Linked DNA regions of Arabidopsis thaliana. The protein of the gene in region 2 interacts with the protein of the main gene of each other region in a pairwise test. Each region holds a gene or a part of one and is shown on either strand. Other genes may lie near its edges. The genes, in order: KNAT3, RGL2, CHC1 and BLH4.

Region 1 (5,037 bases), on a different chromosome or scaffold from region 2:
TTCTCTAAGTTAACAACTTTGATGTTCATTACAAAACTACTTATATGAATCTACTTTCCTAGATTTAATCTAATGTACTAATGGGCTTCTCATGAGACTAGTCTTTGAACTTTGTATGGTCCTCTAATAGAGAGGCGACCAAAATACTTAAGGACACTCTAATTATCTTTGTTAATGTGTGCAGAATCTCTCCGTGATCGATAGAAAAATCTCGCCGAAAACTTACAGTAACTTGTGGCTATCACAAACGTGACAAACGAAACAACAAGATGAGGATAAACAAACAATTTTGACTAGAAAAAAGAACACGTTTCAAATTATTACAATTACAAAAGTACGCAGCAAGCTACGTTATGTAAGATGGGGTATGTTTTATTTTTTGTCGTCATCTACCATGTATAATGTCTTTTACTTATCAAGCCAATATCACGAGTTGGAATGTGACATCGCAATAAATACTACGAACTAAGCGGATAAGAATCATAAGATGGGTTAAGTACGGTTAATGCGAAACATATACTGTATAATAGTCACATAGATTAAGCTAACCAAGTGGTGCGATACAAATTAACATATGCACCTGGTCAATGCGTAACATATACTAGTAGATTAAGAAAACTTGTGCATCCCAATGTTCTCCTCTCTCACTATCTTTATTCACAAGATATATTATGGATGATGATGATGATTATCTGATGGTTCATAAAAAAAAAACTCATGCAGACAAACAAACAAAAAACATTAAACAAAAGCCTGCATCTTCAGTTTTCATATTTTCTTTTTGGTTTGTGTGCTACTTAATAAAATATATGGGCATAATCACATAACCAAACTACGTTACTATGTAATTGCACAAAAAGTTACTTTCTAATACTGTCCCCTCTCTCTGTATAATCCAAACTCCTCCATAAAATTCTCAACTTTAAATCCCTAAAACCCTGCTTTCAAATCCCATCTTCCACCTCCCCAATTCACATCATATGTTTGTTGTTTCTACGCGAACCGCTCTCTTCCGCTATTGTCACCTGCATTGCTTTCATCAGACAAACAAAAGTTTCAGTCTTCTTTGAGTCCGATCCATAAGTTTTTCGGTTATGTTACAAGACTATATTAAAGTATAATAATACCTTTTGCGTTTGTTCTTCAATACAGTGGAAGAAGATGGATTGCTATGCCAGTTCCTCTTTCTCTGATTGATGAACCAATTGTTTATCTGTTTTAGCTGCAAACCTGTCTCTTGCACCAACCTCGCCTTATCTTCCTCCTACAAACCAATATTTGGTTATGGCTCAATGAATGAACTTGAAGAAGTTATAAAGAGATGTTAGATGAGTGAACTCACAGTAGGGTAAGGCCATTTGGAATGAGATTGCCACCAAGCTTTGAGAACAGAGGTGGTATCTCCTGGTAACTTCCCAGCTCTTCTCTTCCTTAATATCTCCTCTCTTATGTCTACTATCTTCTCCTTGTAACCCTTTTCATCAACAAGACAAAGCCCTCTACATTGTTAGTTCATGAACTAGTTCAAAGAACAAGTTTGTTGATTATTACCTGTTTGAGTTCATGTTTAAGTTCTTGTCTAACTCTTTCCATCAACGACCTCTCACTCTCAGTAGGAATCAAAGGACCAAAACCCAACACATCTAATCCCCCATCGAACATATTAGCATCACTCTCTACTTGTTCATCTTCATCGTCAGACATTGTTGCTCCCATCCCTTCTCCAGGAGACACTCCTAATCTCACCAATAAAACACAAAACTTGTCAATGTCATAAAACTAACTATTGGATTCATGAGCTAATCACAGGATTCATTTTCTCACCTGTTAAGCTTTGAAGAGACTGCTCAATCTCCCAACAAGCCATCACAGCTTCCATTGCATGAACACGCACATGTTGTTGCAATTGCTCTTTAAATGAACACAGTAGCAACACATAATGTGTCTACACCATAAAAAAAACATTAATCAAACACACAATAAACACAAAGAACAAAATTTGTATTTTCTTCATCATCATGACCATTATTATATCATAAGCTCTTTTTTTGGGATTTTAGTCTTGTTTATCCCTAAAAACACAAATCTTGATTTTAATATTTTAAGATTTCAAAAATCAAGAAACCTAAGTCGGTGTGTATTATTAAAATTTGTGCTAAGTATAATTATGAAATCGTTAATTATAAAATTATAGAACAAAAAAATCTGAAATTTATATACCATGAACTGGTCAAGTTCTTTATCGTCGCCGACGAGACCTTGAGCGGCGGCGCCTAAAGCTGAGTATTTAGCGACGACGTGTTGAGACTGAGCAAGCTGAGCATCGATTCTCGGAAGCTGATCAACCGGAGTCGCGATTCTCAAACAAGCAACGTGCGCCGACAAAAGCTGCTCGTAAAGAGGATGCGAAAGGATCTCCGCCTTGTGTCTCGCATTCTGCCAGCTCACTACTCCATCCGCCGCCGTAGCTCCTCCGCCGTCGTTTTTGTTTTCTCCACCGCCGGTTTTCATCTCTCCCTGAATCATAGTGTCTGCTCCTCCGGTGACATCATCGATCCCATCTCCGACTATGGAAGCGTTGTTGTTGTTGTTTCGTTGGAGGAAAGAGGAGGAGCGAGATAGCCACTGGTTAGCAGCGGCGGCGGCGGCGGCGGAGGAAGGAGAATCGGAGCTGCTTGCGGTTGTGGTGTTAGCGGTGGCTGTGTGGAGGTTGAGGAAGTTATTGTTGTTATCTGAGGAACGAAGAAGCGCTGTGTTTAACCAATTAGGAGGCGGTGCTTCTTGGAAATGTTGTTGCTGTTGCGGAGGAGGAGGAGGCGGTTGCGGAGGTGGAGGTTGGTGTTGGTCGGTGAAATGATTGAAGGAGAGGTCTTGTGAGAGATGATTGTGATGAAACGCCATCGTTTTGGTTTGACCTTTTTTTTTTTGTTCTTTTTGAATTTTGTTTCCTGTTTCTGAGAGGGAAAGATAAAGAAAGAAGGTGAATCTCTGCTGCTTCTATGACGACGATTGTTTCATATGTTTCAATTATCACCAAAAAAAAAAAAAAAGACACAGAAACTTTTCTTAAAATTGGAAAATAATTGGTTTTTGTGGTGTGTATGTATGTATCTGAGTATATATGTGTGGGTGTGTTCAGAGTTGCACAGAGCTGAGAGATCGAGAGATGACCATTTATTCTCATATTTATTCTTTCTTATTTTTTGCAACCTATTTATCAATATAATTGAATTATTATATGGAATTTATTAGATAAAAAAATATTCCTTCTCTATTCCTTATTATTTAATTTTTTAGAGGAAAAAAATTGTTTTAAAAAAAATAATTTTTAAATTTTCTATACATTATTTATTAGTTATTATTGATAAATTTTTAATTTTAAGATAAATAATTGAATATCATTGGTTTAGAATTATAAAAAAATATAAATCACAAAAGATAATATGTTTATAATTAGTTTTAATATGTTTTTTAATATATGTGTTTTTTTAGAAAATTAATTTAAAAAAAAAAACTGAAAGATAGTAAAAACAAAACATTTTTTTAAAAATCGCTTATGAGAACTTTTATTTGTTAAATATTTTTCTAAATGCTAATTAAAAAGTAAGACAAAAATTGATTTTTTTTGTTAAAGAAAACAAAAATTGATTTTTTTTGTTAAAGAAGACAAAAATTGATGTCACCTCGTATAATCAAATCAACTGATAAAATCTTTTTTGATTTAACTAAGAATTTGTAAACTTTCTTCTATAGTGATATTATTATTGGGGGAAAGATAAAAATCCGACATCATAAATTAACCATAGAAAGCAAAAGTATTTAATAAATCAGTACGCTACATAATAAACAGTGCATTTGAGAAAATAAGATAATTTAGTTATGGTTGACAAAAATGTATTTTTTTTTCTTTTCCAATCACTTTGGTCCACATAGACCTAAGAAAGAATAAATATAAAAGTAAGTGACTAATGAAACAACAAATAGAAGATTAGGTCACGACAGAAAATTAATTAAAGAAAGTAGGTCGTCATGGTTCGATCTATGTCGTTAAATTTTAGTGGCGACTGTATTTATTAAGATCTGACGGCTGCGAAAGGTCGTTGCCTTCTTCGACTGTGTTTGATTTTTTTTATTGTTGGGAATAATAAATGTATTTTTCCTTTTTAAAAAGAGTTGCTACGTGTTGTGTTTTAAGACGCAACGTATCTATGATATGAAGAAGCGCGTGCGTTTCACGTTCAGATGTTAGTGTAATTTTATGGCACTATGAAACAAATTTAACTTATTTATTTATACAATTATTTTTTGCTTCACGCCTTTACCTATTATAAATCCTTCTCGTTTTATGTAATGAAGTTACGAGAAATTATTGAAAACAAAAAATTTAATCATGAATTTAAAGTTACAATTTTAGGTTAAAGATTTGAAATAAAACAATCTTTTAAGAATTTATTTATATGGATTTAAAAGACCTAAGTACCAGAAAACAAATTAGCTTATTTGTTTATGCACACTATTTTTTTGCTTCACCCTTTCACCTTTTTAAAATAATAATAATCATTTCATATAATATAATTTGAGAAATCACTGGTTCTTTAAAATCACATAATTTTCTGAAATCACAGTTTTTGGTAAATATAATTTTTAGATTTTTTTTGGAGTGAAAATTTTCGTACATGCTACGAAACAGAAATTTGGTATAAAATTTGATGGTAGTATATTCGATCGTCACAATAAAAGTTATCGTATATTTTTTTATTTATTTGAGTTTGGTTAAAAACTTAAACGATCAATTAATTTAGAGATTTAAACTTAATTGTGATGAATAGCGTCCTTTTGGTAAATTTTTAGCATTTAATAAGAAGTGAGACGCAAATAGGTCTAGGTTAACTCATACTATAAATGTGTGTTAACATAGTCACATATATAACTTCATCTTTGGGCTGGTTCTTATATTATCAAAACCGTTTTTATTTAGGATTTGAATGGTTATGGCGGTTGGGGCGGATAAAACCGTCAACGGATCATACCGTTTTT
Region 2 (4,759 bases):
GACAACAACATTGCAGCCAAAGTTGCAGAATTCACGGCGACATTTGAGGGACAAGTCCAAGCTTTCGACAGGATAATTCAAAAGAGAAGCGATGGAGACAGAGTTGAGGAAAGGCTGATGATGGAACAAGTTTTGCTCAATGACGAGAGAAACGCATGTATCCAGCTGGATAGGGAGATGAAAGCTCAGGATGCGAGGTTAAGAATGGCGGCTTTGGCTCAAGCAGCAGGACAAGCAAGGGCAGAAGAGTCTCAACAGTCTCATGCCGAGATGATGGCTCGTAACCCGTTGAGAGCTAATGCGATTGGGAATCATGGAGAACAGGGGCGTAACATGAACCCTAATGAGATGATGTTGCTGATGAATGGATGGGGGAACAATAACAACAACAATAATAGCCAGAAGGAAGAGAAGGAACCATTAGAAGATTTCTTGAATGATGAAGAAAATGAAAATGGTGAACATGAGAAGTGGCGAAGAAGTGGGGATTTTGATTTGAATATTCGGTAAATGAAACCATGACTCAGATTTTCTTTTGGTTTGGTTATCCAAATACTCGTAGTTTGGTGATGTAGTTAAATCTTGAAAGGTAGTGAATAAGGTGAAAGATAAATTGACGATGATGAAGTGTTCTTTGAGGTGGACTAGTTTTGGCGAGTGAGCATGACGCGCTTCAGTTTCGATTCTCTCATCTTATGAATTTTAAAAGAGGGATCCTAAATAAAAAGTAACAAATAATGTAAACCACAAAAGCAAAACAGGCCAATTTAGACACAAGTTACATCAAATGACTAAAAATGGAAAAGCATGCACCATGTGACTTCTAACACAACAACGAATATCATTTTCTTGTAGCTGCGATTGGGACCATACCTATATACAATCCCCACAACATTTTTCTATAATTTATTTTCTTATATTCCAAAAGGATCTTTTACGGTTTCCAAACGATACCACTATTCGAAAAAACCTTAATTATTATGCATGATGATGATGTGTGTATGTAAAACTGCTGAAAGATATATGCAATAAATTAATGAAAGTAACCTTATGTTGTGGACGTCTCGTAGGCTATGTCTTCCTCTACGTGGCACATGAGAAGTTGCTCATGTGTCCCCCTCAAATACTTGAGCTGTAGACTGTAGTTTTATCTCAGTGAAACAATACATAGCTAAAAACATATTTGTTTATCATTATGGTAAAAAAGAATTCACATCACCAGAATGTTAGAACTTGGTCAAGAAAAAAGAGAGTAATAGTTGAATCATATTTGTGTCTGATTATACTTTTCTTATGGACCAATAAAATAATTAGTTATCTAATGTTGTCTCAGTTTAATATGATCTCTAAAAACTGATTACTCTATGACATTAAACCTGCTGGTAACAAAAAATTGTTTGCTTTGAAAATTTGTATTTTTATCCAAACACTAACAACTTAGGATTCTTGCTTCATGATTATACACTTTCGACTGAGGAAAAGATTATATACTTTCTACCAAGATATGAGAAAATCAAATTTGTATAATTCAATATTTTCAGTTGTCATTAGAAAAGAGTTGATTATCAAATGTCAATTATTTAGTGAAAAAATAAACATTATCCAACATAAGGAAAAAAACTACACTTAAGTGCCATTATCTTAACACGCATTTGGTGCCGTTTGGGTTTAAGAACAACGAAGTCGTAAGCGAGAATATGACAATATTCAATGGCATTTAAGAACAATTAAGTCGTGATCGTCTATAAGACTATGACACTATCATTAAAAGACACTTTAATCACTTCACAACTTAAAAACATCTTACCAACAAATATGACGAAAGCACACTACAACCTAAAAGTTATAAAGTTCCATTGGTCAAAACTACTAAACAGATTTAGAAATCTCTACTAAACAGTTATAAAGAAAATTATCCATTACTACAAAAAAAAAGGAGTAAATTTCTTGGAGTTAGGAAAAAATGAAAGAGAGAAACAGATGCCAAACAATAGTGGCATGCTCTGATTCTTATCTCTTAAACACACTTCACAGTCACTTCTCTAATTGGACCTCTCTCTCACTCCCTCGTGCTTTATATATTGCTCCTCTCAGAATCTCCTTTCTTTCCACAAAAATTGTCTGTAACCAAATCACAACAAAGACCCACAAAATTCTTTTTTTTTTCTTTTTCAAATCCCATTAATAAAAACCTTACCAACCCATGAAGTAAAGTAAACTCCTTTCTTATAAACTCTCTTTTGTTCTTTTTTTTTCAACTTCATCAGTCTCTTAACTCACCATCACAAGAACAAGAAAGATGAAGAGAGGATACGGAGAAACATGGGATCCGCCACCAAAACCACTACCAGCTTCTCGTTCCGGAGAAGGTCCTTCAATGGCGGATAAGAAGAAGGCTGATGATGACAACAACAACAGCAACATGGATGATGAGCTTCTTGCTGTTCTTGGCTACAAGGTTCGATCTTCTGAGATGGCTGAAGTAGCACAGAAGCTTGAACAACTTGAGATGGTCTTGTCTAATGATGATGTTGGTTCTACTGTCTTAAACGACTCTGTTCATTATAACCCATCTGATCTCTCTAACTGGGTCGAGAGCATGCTTTCTGAGCTGAACAACCCGGCTTCTTCGGATCTTGACACGACCCGAAGTTGTGTGGATAGATCCGAATACGATCTCAGAGCAATTCCGGGTCTTTCTGCGTTTCCAAAGGAAGAGGAAGTCTTTGACGAGGAAGCTAGCAGCAAGAGGATCCGACTCGGATCGTGGTGCGAATCGTCGGACGAGTCAACTCGGTCCGTGGTGCTCGTTGACTCTCAGGAGACCGGAGTTAGACTTGTCCACGCACTAGTGGCGTGCGCTGAGGCGATTCACCAGGAGAATCTCAACTTAGCTGACGCGCTGGTGAAACGCGTGGGAACACTCGCGGGTTCTCAAGCTGGAGCTATGGGAAAAGTCGCTACGTATTTTGCTCAAGCCTTGGCTCGTCGTATTTACCGTGATTACACGGCGGAGACGGACGTTTGCGCGGCGGTGAACCCATCTTTCGAAGAGGTTTTGGAGATGCACTTTTACGAGTCTTGCCCTTACCTGAAGTTCGCTCATTTCACGGCGAACCAAGCGATTCTAGAAGCTGTTACGACGGCGCGTAGAGTTCACGTCATTGATTTAGGGCTTAATCAAGGGATGCAATGGCCTGCTTTAATGCAAGCTTTAGCTCTCCGACCCGGTGGACCTCCGTCGTTTCGTCTCACCGGAATCGGACCACCGCAGACGGAGAATTCAGATTCGCTTCAACAGTTAGGTTGGAAATTAGCTCAATTCGCTCAGAACATGGGCGTTGAATTCGAATTCAAAGGCTTAGCCGCTGAGAGTTTATCGGATCTTGAACCCGAAATGTTCGAAACCCGACCCGAATCTGAAACCTTAGTGGTTAATTCGGTATTTGAGCTCCACCGGTTATTAGCCCGATCCGGTTCAATCGAAAAGCTTCTCAATACGGTTAAAGCTATTAAACCGAGTATCGTAACGGTGGTTGAGCAAGAAGCGAACCACAACGGAATCGTCTTCCTCGATAGGTTCAACGAAGCGCTTCATTACTACTCGAGCTTGTTTGACTCGCTCGAAGACAGTTATAGTTTACCGAGTCAAGACCGAGTTATGTCAGAAGTGTACTTAGGGAGACAGATACTCAACGTTGTTGCGGCGGAAGGGTCCGATCGGGTCGAGCGGCACGAGACGGCTGCACAGTGGAGGATTCGGATGAAATCCGCTGGGTTTGACCCGATTCATCTCGGATCTAGCGCGTTTAAACAAGCGAGTATGCTTTTATCGCTTTACGCTACCGGAGATGGATACAGAGTTGAAGAAAATGACGGATGTTTAATGATAGGGTGGCAGACGCGACCACTCATCACAACCTCGGCGTGGAAACTCGCCTGAGTCGCGGCGGTAGAGATGACTCGCCTGAAACCGGGAAAAACAATAAATGTTTTAAAAAATTAGGAAAAGAGACCGTAACTTTAGTTATGTTTTTACTTTTTAACCCGAAGTTTTTGTGTGTTTAACCTTTTTGCCTAAATGTTTACAACTTTATCTTTTTGGACCTTGTGCGTATCTTTGAGAGTTAAGAGAACGAGTAAAAAATCTTGTATCGTAGATCGAGCTAAGTAGTTTTCAATAAATGGAAGGATAACGATTCTGTATGTTTTTTACTTGATCCAATATATATGAATTTATTTAAATGATTTTGTGTCATATATTTTTCAAATTTGGACAGTTTCGTTGATAACATGGGAAGTGAACGTGAGCGTTTCTGAAAAGGCGGATCCAAAATGTACTTTCAGTTTCGAGGACTGATGTCAGCCTTTGTTAAAAGATTTTCTTCGAAATATATTTTGGTACATTTTTGTTTTCGAAACAGATTGTTCTTTTCTCTCTCTTTATTATGGGTTTGATGAGGTAATATGGATGTCAAATTGATTTTGACGTACGTTATCAACTTTTAAAAATATGCGAGGTGAAATTATTCTACTTTTATGAGATCATAAGCCTCAAATTCAATGGTCTTCTACCTAAGAGTTGGTGGATCTAAATTTTGGGGGGTTTCAGTTTTGAAAACATATATGAAGTTATTCTTTCTGGAATTCAATCTAGACGTATAGTCAAGAAGGAAATTATAAAACGACATTAACGTAGGGATTTTGGTCGGATAGGTTCGGATTATATATAGAACACTCCAATGGCACAATAATATCA
Region 3 (5,038 bases), on a different chromosome or scaffold from region 2:
TTTAATTTCTTATAGTTTACATTACTATGATAGTCAAATAATCATGAGTTAAATGTGCAGGATGGGATGTCATGGCTGTTGAATCCAGCGGATCAAAATCTGCCGTTGATTTTGGCGGATCAAGGATTCGATGTGTGGATGGGGAACACAAGAGGGACTAGATTCAGCAGAAGACACAAGTACCTTAACCCTTCTCAACGGGTCTGGTTCAGTGAACCACTGTTTTAACCAGTAGATTACGTATATATCTTTACTAAGGAAACTGATATTTAACATCGTTGGCACGTTGTGGACTTAGGCTTTCTGGAACTGGACGTGGGACGAGCTTGTGAGTTACGATCTGCCTGCTATGTTTGACCATATCCATGGCCTAACAGGCCAAAAGATTCACTACCTCGGACACTCTTTGGTGGGTCCAACGTTATCAACATATTTTTTCTCTGATTTTTTTCTTTTTCTTATAGTAATATATCTTCTCATAATAGAATGAAAAATGAAATGGAAATTGTCAGGGGACGTTAATAGGATTTGCTTCGTTCTCAGAAAAAGGGTTGGTGGATCAAGTGAGATCGGCGGCGATGTTGAGTCCCGTTGCTTATCTCAGCCACATGACCACCGTCATCGGCGATATCGCCGCAAAAACCTTCCTCGCCGAGGTCCCTAGCTTCTCCCTTGTAATACCCTTTTTTATTCTTATACAAATATGTGCCTACAGTTATGAAAATAACTTGTTTATCGTCTTTCAAAAATAGGCCACCTCTATTCTTGGATGGCCAGAGTTTAACCCGAAAAGGTAAATCTTCACCCTTTTTTCTTAAAATATGCTTGTTATTATTGGCTTGATTTGATTACGTAAAATAGTTAAAACAACATTTGCAGTGGATTAGTAGGGGATTTTATAAAGGCTATATGCCTTAAAGCGGGGATCGACTGTTATGATTTAGTCTCTGTTATCACTGGTAACGCTACAACTAAAAAAGTCCACCAATCTACCATTGATGAATTAATTACATATATTAATTAACGTAATTTTACAAAAACATAGGAAAGAATTGCTGCCTTAACGCATCAACCATTGATCTGTTCCTTGCCAACGAACCTCAATCTACTTCCACCAAGAACATGATCCACCTTGCTCAAAGTAAGTGAAACAAATTCCCATTTTTTAAAAATTATTTTATAAACCTTAAATTGTTCAAATTATTTATTTGTAGCGGTAAGAGACAAGGAGTTGAGAAAATACAACTATGGAAGCAGTGATCGCAACATAAAACATTACGGTCAAGCGATACCACCGGCATACAACATATCGGCGATCCCACACGAGCTTCCGCTTTTTTTCAGCTACGGTGGTTTAGATAGCCTGGCTGATGTGAAAGACGTTGAGTTTCTCCTTGACCAGTTTAAGTATCACGACATCGATAAGATGAATGTGCAGTTTGTGAAAGACTATGCTCATGCTGATTTCATCATGGGTGTTACTGCCAAAGACGTTGTTTATAACCAAGTTGCTACCTTTTTCAAACGACAAGCTTGATAATATTATTACCTTGTCATTAGTTTATGTAATTGCATGTGCCCATATTCTTCAATTGTTTCCCTCTAAACAAAATGGGCAAAAATAAAATTAAAATTTTTATGAAAAAGTATACCAGTCTACTAGCTTCTAATTAAAATAATCCCAATATTTAATTTAGATTTTTTTTTTCTTTAATCTATAAACAATGGGGCAACCATTATCTAATTTACCCTAGTTTTAGGTATATTTAAGAAAGAACACTAAAACTACAGATTCGTATTTGACAAAAAAAAAAAAAGGAAACGAAAAACTATAGTAAAACAAAATTATGTGGAATGCTTTTCTTTTTAATTTTGTCGTCAAATTGTATGTGGATTTGTCGTTGAAAAAAAAACACATGGATTAAAGTTGGGCCAGTTTGATATAACTCAATGTGGGCTTTAAAAATACGGGTCGGGTCTTAACCCGGACAGTAAAATAGATAGCTCCGGTGGGCATTTGTTTTTGTTTTCTCTCTCGAGTCTCGACAACTGAGAAGCAACGGAACACCGGTGAATCCCGGAAAGAAGGTGAATCAAAAAAGCAGGTACCAAGCTGCGAATCTTCGTTTTTTTAAGGAATTCTCGATCTTTATGGTGTATAGGCTCTGGGTTTTCTGTTTTTTGTATCTCTTAGGATTTTGTAAATTCCAGATCTTTCTATGGCCACTTAGTAGTATATTTCAAAAATTCTCCAATCGAGTTCTTCATTCGCATTTTCAGTCATTTTCTCTTCGACGTTGTTTTTAAGCCTGGGTATTACTCCTATTTAGTTGAACTCTGCAGCAATCTTAGAAAATTAGGGTTTTGAGGTTTCGATTTCTCTAGGTAACCGATCTATTGCATTCATCTGAATTTCTGCATATATGTCTTAGATTTCTGATAAGCTTACGATACGTTAGGTGTAATTGAAGTTTATTTTTCAAGAGTGTTATTTTTTGTTTCTGAATTTTTCAGGCTGATAGGTTTATATAGCAATGTCTGGTAACAACAACAATCCACAAAAGCCTCAAGGCTCTGCGCCTTTGCCTTTTGGGAATCCTGGGATGGCCTCTGCATCTGTTCCTGGAAACCAAGGTTTTGCTCAGTCTCATATGGCAGCTAACTTTCAAGCTCAGTTTCAGTTCTCTCAAGCTCAGGCCCTAGCCCATGCTCAAGCACAGTCTAAAGTTCAAGCACAACTGCAAGCTCAGTTACAAGCTCAAGGCATGACGATGAACCAAGCACAAGGTTCTCCGGGGATTGGTGGCTTGGGTCCTTCTTCTCCTTCTTTGACGACTCCTGGAAGTTTAAACATGAAGAGATTCCAGCAGAAACCGCCGATGCGACCTCCTGGTGCTCCTGCGAGTAACAACACTATCTCCCCAATGAGAACAATGGAGTTAACTCCTGCTGCTCGGAAAAAGAAACAAAAGCTTCCAGAAAAGTCATTGCAGGAGCGGGTGGCTGCAATCTTGCCAGAGTCTGCCTTATACACACAACTTCTGGAGTTTGAGTCTCGGGTTGATGCTGCGTTAACTAGAAAGAAAGTTGACATCCAGGAAGCCCTTAAAAACCCTCCCTGCATACAGAAGACTCTTAGGATCTACGTTTTCAACTCGTTTGCTAACCAAAACAACACGATCCCTGGGAATCCTAATGCTGACCCGCCAACATGGACTCTTAAAATTATTGGTAGGATACTGGAAGATGGGGTGGATCCCGACCAGCCAGGGTTTGTTCAGAAAGCAAACCCATTGCATCCCAAATTCTCGTCTTTCTTCAAAAGGGTTACAGTTTCCCTGGATCAGAGGCTGTATCCTGAGAACCCATTGATCATATGGGAGAATGCTCGATCACCTGCTCCTCAGGAAGGCTTTGAGATAAAGAGGAAAGGGAATCAGGAGTTTGCTGCTAGTATACGGTTGGAGATGAACTACGTCCCTGAAAAGTTCAAGCTTTCTACTGCATTGATGGATGTTCTCGGGATTGAGGTTGAAACCCGCCCAAGAATCATCGCTGCAATTTGGCATTACGTTAAGGCGAGGAAACTGCAGAACCCAAATGACCCCTCTTTCTTCAACTGTGATGCTGCACTTCAGAAAGTTTTTGGAGAAGAAAAGTTGAAATTCACTATGGTCTCTCAGAAAATATCTCATCACTTGTCGCCTCCACCACCTATTCACTTAGAACACAAAATCAAGCTCTCAGGAAATAATCCGGCCGTATCAGCATGTTACGATGTGCTAGTGGATGTACCCTTCCCGATCCAAAGAGATCTGAACAATTTGCTAGCCAACGCAGAGAAGAACAAAGAGATTGAGGCTTGTGATGAAGCAATATGTGCAGCCATAAGGAAAATCCATGAGCATAGGAGGAGGCGGGCATTTTTCTTGGGGTTCAGCCAATCGCCAGTTGAATTCATAAACGCCCTGATCGAATCTCAGAGCAAGGATCTAAAGGTCGTTGCGGGAGAAGCCAGTCGAAATGCTGAGAGAGAACGTCGATCAGACTTCTTCAACCAACCTTGGTAAGCTAATCATCTAGACTCTGCTACTCTGGCCTTTATTCGCACAGATGATATGTATTAAGAGTTGTAAAATGTTTTTTTTTTTTTTTGGTCAAAGAGTTGTAAAATGTTTCTGAATCATAATTTGGGGTAAAATGTTTGCAGGGTCGAAGATGCAGTTATACGTTACTTGAACCGGAGGCCAGCAGCTGGGAACGATGGGCCAGGGAGTTGGTGAGTTTCTTGACGATACAAGTCTCTTCATCTGTTTGAGCATTTTTAGTAGAAGATATTGTTGAGATTAGTCTGGTTTAAAAGTGAACTAGTGTATCTGTAATCTTGTGTATGTTGAAACATTACTACTTTATATAATTAGCTTTGTTTTGTAGCCTTTGCGTTAATGGTTAAGTCATGTTTTTATTAGCAAAAGGAAAATAACATTGGCATTATTAAAAAAAAAAAACACTTAAAGTTGAACAAAAACGAAAATGTTTGGAAAGAGTATCATTGTGAAGTAAGAAGTGGGGAAGAGCCAGCGAGCATTAGAGAATGGTCTGGAGGAGATAGAAGAAGACGAAAGGCGTTGAACCTTCTGGGAGGAGAGATTGAAGACGAAGACATCCTTTTGGCTAGATGGAAGACCGCTGAAATAGGTGGAGTTTCTGGTAATACCTTGGATATCGGAGGATGCTTGCACGGTGATACCTAGATCCAAGATCACGGCCTGGTCGCCACGAAAAAGCCAGGAAAGGTCACGACGTTTAAGAACGCAGCCAACCATCAAAAAATCTCCAGAGATGGTGATTACTATGTTGGTCTTCCAGTCAAGATAGTCTGTCCAAATTGTATCATAAGGGCTAAAAGATCCCAAGCGGAAGCGAAAGGGATAGAGCTGAACATGAGCAGTTTTTGTTACAAACTTCAAATCCGAGATTCCGATGCTACCATCCTCATAGTAAATGTAAAGTTTGTGGTCCTTGAGGGCAATATCAC
Region 4 (7,673 bases), on a different chromosome or scaffold from region 2:
TTCTGGCATGATAGATTCCAACATAAGTCTCCATAGATATATATACAAGTGGGCTTTTCACTTTTGCTTTCAAGCCTTCCATTAGTATTTATCCTATTGTGGATTTATAACCTACATAGCATATATCCAACATGTCTCTCTAACTGTTTGTGGGATGGATACGCACGTCAAATCGATTTTGGAAATTTTTTTTTTTTTAATATTTAATATACCTAGGATAATGTAATGACTAATGATACGTTAATTTTAACAGAAAATAATTGTGTTTGTATCTATACAACGTCATTATAATGTATGGCTGAAATTAATTTTATAAGTATAGGTTTAGAAAAAGAGATAGCTGAAGGTGTAGTTGTGAAACTACAGAACCATAAAATTTCGTTTTTTCCATGCATTAGTTGTGTGTGGATGGTTTACATATTACAAACATCGATGATGGTGAAAGGCTATCGGCCGACCGTGAAATCGTGCAGAGGATTAATCTTTGGATTTTAGTAAATATTTTGTAAAGATGATTTGGAGGTTTAGTCATCAGGCATGTTGTCATAACATCAAGGTTTTTTTTAAAACAATGGTATTTTTAAAAATATTATTGTTAAAGGGATATTTTTTAAAATGGGTAATCTAAAAAGCAATTTTAAAAAAATTTCAATAATCTTTGAGTGATAAAGTTTTATTAATTAATATAGATATAAAATAATATTTTGAAAGTTGAGAGTATCGTTTAACACAGAATGAGATATTTCCTAATCAATTAACACAAAATGAAACAACCTCGATTTGCAGCTAGATTTTTGCTTTATCATATCAAGCTTGAGGTAATCTCTAATGCTTTTTTTTTTACGATTTCGTGATGATAGATGTAATATAGCGGTTTCTGCAAAGAAATTTAAAATAATTGATTTAGCCACATATGTTACCAAAATGTAATTATAATTTGATCGATTTTTATGTATTTCATTTGTTTCATATTATAATTTGATCGATTTTTGATATATCGTATGATTAGTTAATTGAATAAATGTACATACATGAAAAAGTAGTCTAAAATGACATAGGTCTCCCCTAAACAACAAATACACACAATATTAAAGAATAAAATTAGAGAGCATCATAGGAATATTATATAAGTATTTAATTTGTCAAATAAGAATATTTTATTTTATTTTATTTTGGCTCGAAATAAGAATATATTGAAGCACAAAAATATGTGGAAGTATTTATGGTGGTGGTTTGGTTCATTGAGATATGACCTTTGGACTCACCTTATCTTCCTATTCTTTTTAGTTTGCTTTCATAAATTAGTTTCCAAATTAACTCCTTTAAAATGTTGATATCAGCCGACATTTCCGTGATAAAAAGTTTTTTTTTCTCTTATAAATAAATAATAACGTTGACAAAAAAAAAAGACAAGAAAAAAAAACAAGGATAATTTCGTAATTTCAGGATGTGTATAGTTTTTTTTTGTCTTTCCTCCTCATCGTTATTGATATGAAGAAACCTTTGCCGATTAAAATTAAAAAGAAGATGTTTATAAAAATACTTCATTATAAAAAAATGATAAATCAAGATTTTAATAACAAAAAAATATTAAAGAAGATTGGTGGGTTAAAAAGGGAGGCGATGAAGAAAGAACAGCGACCTCTTCTTCTCTCTTCCCTCTCTCTTCCTTTCTCTTTGGGAGAGATTTTTTTATAAGTTTTTGGTTTTGCAGAATTTGCTGAATAAAAACTCTCACTAACAGAGAAATATAAAATAAAAAGAGTACTCAAGAAAAAGAAAGCTAGAGAGAGAGGTATAGAAGAAAACGATAGCTATAAGCTCATCATCAATCATTTCTTTAATTCTCTGCAACTCCAAGGTACTTCCTCTCTCTCTCTCTCTCTCTCTCTATACCATATATGTAGATGATGACCGAAGCTGAAAGTGAGAACCTTAAAAGAGTTACAAGAAAGAGATTGGAGAAAAACTGTATAATACCTAGTTGACTCCTCTCTCTCTCTCTCTCTTTCTTTTTCTTGTATTTTTTTTTTGTATGTGTTATATAAGATTCTCTGTGTATGTCTGAATCCTTACAGGATCCAAGAGCTTTGGAAAAAAGATATAATGAATAACAAGATATGGGTTTAGCTACTACAACTTCTTCTATGTCACAAGATTATCATCATCACCAAGGAATCTTTTCCTTCTCTAATGGATTCCACCGATCATCATCAACCACTCATCAAGAGGAAGTAGATGAATCCGCCGTCGTCTCCGGTGCTCAAATTCCGGTTTATGAAACCGCCGGAATGTTGTCTGAAATGTTTGCTTACCCTGGCGGAGGTGGCGGCGGTTCCGGTGGAGAGATTCTTGATCAGTCTACTAAACAGTTGCTAGAGCAACAAAACCGTCACAACAACAACAATAACTCAACTCTTCATATGTTATTACCAAATCATCATCAAGGTTTTGCTTTCACCGACGAAAACACTATGCAGCCGCAGCAACAACAACACTTTACATGGCCATCTTCCTCCTCCGATCATCATCAAAACCGAGATATGATCGGAACCGTCCACGTGGAAGGAGGAAAGGGTTTGTCTTTATCTCTCTCATCTTCATTAGCCGCAGCTAAAGCCGAGGAATATAGAAGCATTTATTGTGCAGCCGTTGATGGAACTTCTTCTTCTTCTAACGCATCCGCTCATCATCATCAATTCAATCAGTTCAAGAATCTTCTTCTTGAGAATTCTTCTTCTCAACATCATCACCATCAAGTTGTTGGACATTTTGGTTCATCATCATCATCTCCCATGGCGGCTTCTTCATCCATTGGAGGGATCTACACGTTGAGGAATTCGAAATATACGAAACCGGCTCAAGAGTTGTTGGAAGAGTTTTGTAGTGTTGGAAGAGGACATTTCAAGAAGAACAAACTTAGTAGGAACAACTCAAACCCTAATACTACCGGTGGAGGAGGAGGCGGAGGGTCCTCGTCATCGGCCGGAACAGCTAATGATAGTCCTCCTTTGTCTCCGGCTGATCGGATTGAACATCAAAGAAGAAAAGTCAAGCTACTATCTATGCTTGAAGAGGTAACGTTTTCACTCAATATTTTTTCTCTAACCAAACTAATTAATTTTCTATCAAACTTTTAATGAACCGTTCTAATGATTGAATTGATCAAACAACCAATTTCATATCAATCGCTACAAAATTTTATTTTTCTTCGTGATTTTTTTCTTCTTATATAATTAATTCTAAATCGACCAATATTTTCATAAACTCTATATATGTTATTTTCTTAAAAAAATAAATGTATAGAGAATGACCGACTGGTACAAGAGCACGACACATGCTCTAGTTGGTAAAGCCTGATTACGCAATCCTACTATCACTTATATAATTTTTCTAACTAATATCATTATATGGTGTTATATGGTCTAATTTGATATATTAATGCATATTTTGTGTCACGCGTTTGGTGGCATCGCTTAATCAAATTTAACATAAGAAATTAATATATGATTGATTAAGTGATTTAGTCTTCACAACCATAAATTTTAAATTAGAGTTTCCTTCTCCATATAAGCTAGCCACCTTCACTACGTAACCAAAACTAGTCCTTGAAGTTACTTCATTATTTATCTTACAATTTATTTTGTAGTTGACATTATCTTCTTTCAAGAATTTAGTATATGTTCCAAGATAGCATAAATTGTTAGCAAGAGAAGATAACACATTGAAGTATCTAAACGAACTAATCACTTGAGGTTTATATTTTATCTTAGAAATTGAGCTAATAAAAAAAAAACAAGAACTCATCTATGTATAGTTCATTTATTTAAAATTTAATTTGTAGGTGGACCGACGGTACAACCACTACTGCGAACAAATGCAAATGGTAGTGAACTCATTCGACCAAGTAATGGGTTACGGCGCGGCGGTTCCGTACACGACATTAGCTCAAAAGGCAATGTCTAGGCATTTCCGGTGTTTGAAAGACGCGGTAGCGGTTCAGCTTAAACGCAGCTGTGAGCTTCTAGGGGATAAAGAGGCGGCAGGGGCTGCATCCTCGGGGTTAACCAAAGGGGAAACGCCGCGATTGCGTTTGCTAGAGCAGAGTTTGCGTCAGCAACGAGCGTTTCATCATATGGGTATGATGGAGCAAGAGGCATGGAGACCGCAACGTGGTTTGCCTGAACGCTCCGTTAATATCCTTAGAGCTTGGCTATTCGAGCATTTTCTTAATCCGTAAGTCCATTTTCTAATCCCTTAATAATACTTACCTACTCTTATTCTTCGATAATACTAATCTTCTTGAATGTTGACTATACATTATAAAATGTAGACTACCATAATGCATTGATACCAAGACTTTAACTAATATACGTTTATTAAACTTAAGTTATGAAAGTGACAAAAAAATTTTTTTTTTTATAACTCTTTTGTTATGCGGGAAGATATATTTCTATTTCAATCAAAATTAAAAGCTGCTGGCTTTTTTAGAAAACCAAAATAATTTTTGTAAAATGAAGTTCCGTTTCTTCACTGAGTTTGATTATTTTATGTTTATTACTACTAATAAAAATTTAAATATCAAATATTTTTTCCTTTTCATACCACCCATAAGAATGGTCAGCTAAGAGTACTCCAAAATAACAAGGGTAACAATTCATTGACTAGGAGACTTTCATGAAAACTGTATGTTTATATTTATATTAATGTAGGTTATATTGCATGGCAAATTAAAGGGTTTAAATAATTAATGCAACAAAAGAAGTTTGCAGAGTGAGATCGCAAACTTTTATGCTTTGGGATCATAATAGCATCCTAAGGGTTTCTCTGTCTCTGCCTAACCTTTCCTTTATAGTTTTTTTTTCTTTAATTTGCTTTAATTCATTCCACATACTATTATCAAAAGAAGTAACAATGCCATTAACATAACTACAAAAAAATAAGTCTCAGATTTGTCAGTGGTACAGTTTCATTGGTATATTGTCCCTTAAGAAAGACAGAAATCAAAAAGAGGAAAAAAAAAATCTAAAAGCTGAAAAAAGCAATTTCTTCTGTCATTATTCATCAGTACTTTCTCTATTTAATGTCTGCAGAATTTTACTATTTTGTTGTTAGTGAAGTAAAGAAGAGAAGAGTTGTACAGATAAATATTTTGCTTTATGATGAAAAATAAGTTAAGATACAAAAATAAAATAAAATGCTTCTATTCTGAAATCAGCTTTTTCTTTTGTCCCTTAGATTCTCACGCCCTTGTAAGGAGAAAGTTTGTACCTTTTCTTGCATCTACTTGATTGTGTTTTTCCTCTCTATCTATATTCAAAAAAAGAGAAAAGAAAAAAATTATTGGTTTAGGGTTCTAAAGATTGTGAAGTCATTTTCTGGTCTCTTTCTCAGGTACCCAAGCGATGCTGATAAGCACCTCTTAGCACGACAGACTGGTTTATCCAGAAATCAGGTCAGCCTTTATCTATATAGATACATACATCAATATTTTTTTAATATAATATGTTTTCATACTTATCATACAAGAACCCTTTTAATTACTCATTTACATATATGTACTTAACTCACAATTTACCATATATATCAATCATTTCATCATGCAAAATCTGACATGAGTGGCTTCATGTCTATTCTCTTGCATGGATTTTCAATATCACGAATCATTTGTTTTTCTTGGGGTTCGTTTTCTTCATTAAATACATTATCTACACTTACACACACAAGGATATATAAAACATAGGAGAGAGAGATGTAAGTATTTCTCAAGTACATGAAAGTTTGAAGCTTTCATTTCAATGTTAACTAGCAGACCTCTAAGTCTTGTACACATTAATTATTTACATCACAAGTAGTTTATTACACTTGGCTTCAAATATCCATTAGTATATTTCAACCTTCAAATTGTTGTTTTAACATTATTATGTTTCATGTGTTCAAATAAAAAAACATTATTATGTTTCAAATTTTTAATTTAGAAATTTCATCTAAGCCTTTCAGTAAATACATAAGTTAACATCAAATCAAAATTACTTGAAACATGTCAAAAGTTATCTTGTTCTTGTAAGAATATAATGAAAAATTTAATATATATCTTCTTTTTAATAGATGTCTCAAAGGAAACACATGTATCATAATTTTTACTCCTTTCCTATCATTTTAACTTAAGGTTTTAGCTATCCTATTTTTTTTGTTTCATTTGTTTAAACTAATTTTCTTCACAGTAAATGACTTATTATTTTAACTTTACTTAATATAAAACAAATGAAGTATATACAAAAACAATCAAAACCATATTTAATGTAAAAAGGAGTATTTCACATTTCATTGAAAAGTTTTTTTTTCCTTCTAAAAGTTAAGTTTCTTTTAATATTATAAACTTGTTAAGAGTAAATTGTGATTAATATTAGTTCATATGTCTCGTTTTTTCAGGTGTCAAATTGGTTCATAAATGCTAGGGTTCGCCTATGGAAACCAATGGTGGAAGAGATGTATCAACAAGAAGCAAAAGAAAGAGAAGAAGCAGAAGAAGAAAATGAAAATCAACAACAACAAAGAAGACAGCAACAAACAAACAACAACGACACGAAACCCAACAACAATGAAAACAACTTCACTGTCATAACCGCACAAACTCCAACGACGATGACATCGACACATCACGAAAACGACTCTTCATTCCTCTCTTCCGTCGCCGCCGCTTCTCACGGCGGTTCAGACGCGTTCACCGTCGCCACGTGTCAGCAAGACGTCAGTGACTTCCACGTCGACGGAGATGGTGTGAACGTCATAAGATTCGGGACCAAACAGACTGGTGACGTGTCTCTTACGCTTGGTCTACGCCACTCTGGCAATATTCCTGATAAGAACACTTCTTTCTCCGTTAGAGACTTTGGAGATTTTTAGTCTTCTTTGTTTCTCAATTTATTCATCAAAATTTATTATAGTGAATTTTATTTTTTTGGTTTATCGATATATGTTTTTAGTTTCTTCACATACTTTTAAAATTTCCTTTCTTCTTTAGTTTTTTTTTCTGTCTTTTCTGTCGTAAGAAGAAGAGAGATATACATATATCAAGTGAGATCTAGCTACCAAAGTTCCATATATAATTATGCACATATTTTTATTTTATTCATGAAACTTATATCCTTACATTTTTGTATAGTTTTGTTCATACTAATTTTTTGTTCATATTAATACCCCTGCCAAATTACTCTAAATTTTGTTTTAGATTATGATTATGTACATATATTTTCTGGAAACTAAATTTCGTGTAGCATTTATTGGATTCTTCCATTTGATTTTTGCTAATAAGCGACAACAGTCTTTTAGGAAAGCGCCAATAAGTCACATCACTTTCCTTGTAATATCAAATTAATCATCTCAACTAATCCCTACTTACTACAACTATGTGCTCCTTAATTTAGTAATAGCAACAAAATATACTTGGTACGTACCCGATCGACTTATTAACAATTGTATTATCTTCAGTTTATAGTAAAATAGTTAAGAAAAACGTGACATATTTGTTTAAAAAGAAAACAAATAATCTTTTGAGTTAGGTTCTTTAGTTTTTTTCTCTGAGAAACAATTATCCAAAACTCCAAAGGTTTGGTTACATGTCATATTGGGGGATATGTCAATCGAGACGGAGACGTTTTAGTTCTACAAAG

The links.
Region 1: the proteins of RGL2 (region 2) and KNAT3 interact in binary tests that used the Arabidopsis thaliana proteins (3 or more experiments, as listed by UniProt).
Region 3: the proteins of RGL2 (region 2) and CHC1 interact in binary tests that used the Arabidopsis thaliana proteins (3 or more experiments, as listed by UniProt).
Region 4: the proteins of RGL2 (region 2) and BLH4 interact in binary tests that used the Arabidopsis thaliana proteins (3 or more experiments, as listed by UniProt).

Annotation. Positions count from the first base shown.
Region 1 is NC_003076.8:8,734,072-8,739,108, reverse strand, and holds KNAT3 (homeobox protein knotted-1-like 3), read right to left. Parts: upstream 3,166-5,037; 5' UTR 2,902-3,165; coding exon 2,221-2,901; intron 1,946-2,220; coding exon 1,825-1,945; intron 1,737-1,824; coding exon 1,552-1,736; intron 1,475-1,551; coding exon 1,343-1,474; intron 1,265-1,342; coding exon 1,128-1,264; intron 1,034-1,127; coding exon 994-1,033; 3' UTR 508-993; downstream 1-507.
Region 2 is NC_003074.8:818,820-823,578, reverse strand, and holds RGL2 (RGA-like 2), read left to right. Parts: upstream 1-1,926; 5' UTR 1,927-2,299; coding exon 2,300-3,943; 3' UTR 3,944-4,242; downstream 4,243-4,759. Other genes in the region: AT3G03460 (mediator of RNA polymerase II transcription subunit-like protein), read left to right, coding at 1-510.
Region 3 is NC_003076.8:4,567,941-4,572,978, reverse strand, and holds CHC1 (SWIB/MDM2 domain superfamily protein), read left to right. Parts: upstream 1-1,984; 5' UTR 1,985-2,105; intron 2,106-2,514; 5' UTR 2,515-2,534; coding exon 2,535-4,066; intron 4,067-4,210; coding exon 4,211-4,283; 3' UTR 4,284-4,499; downstream 4,500-5,038. Other genes in the region: MPL1 (Myzus persicae-induced lipase 1), read left to right, coding at 61-201, 299-409, 513-656, 753-793, 880-959, 1,046-1,141, 1,215-1,537; AT5G14160 (F-box family protein), read right to left, coding at 4,512-5,038. UniProt on the Arabidopsis thaliana protein: Involved in transcriptional activation and repression of select genes by chromatin remodeling (alteration of DNA-nucleosome topology).
Region 4 is NC_003071.7:10,107,184-10,114,856, reverse strand, and holds BLH4 (BEL1-like homeodomain 4), read left to right. Parts: upstream 1-1,851; 5' UTR 1,852-1,971; exon of another isoform or gene 1,972-2,078; 5' UTR 2,079-2,120; coding exon 2,121-3,077; intron 3,078-3,844; coding exon 3,845-4,236; intron 4,237-5,238; coding exon 5,239-5,455; intron 5,456-6,432; coding exon 6,433-6,906; 3' UTR 6,907-7,148; downstream 7,149-7,673. UniProt on the Arabidopsis thaliana protein: Transcription factor that establishes leaf shape by repressing growth in specific subdomains of the leaf. Negatively regulates knox homeobox gene KNAT1/BP expression.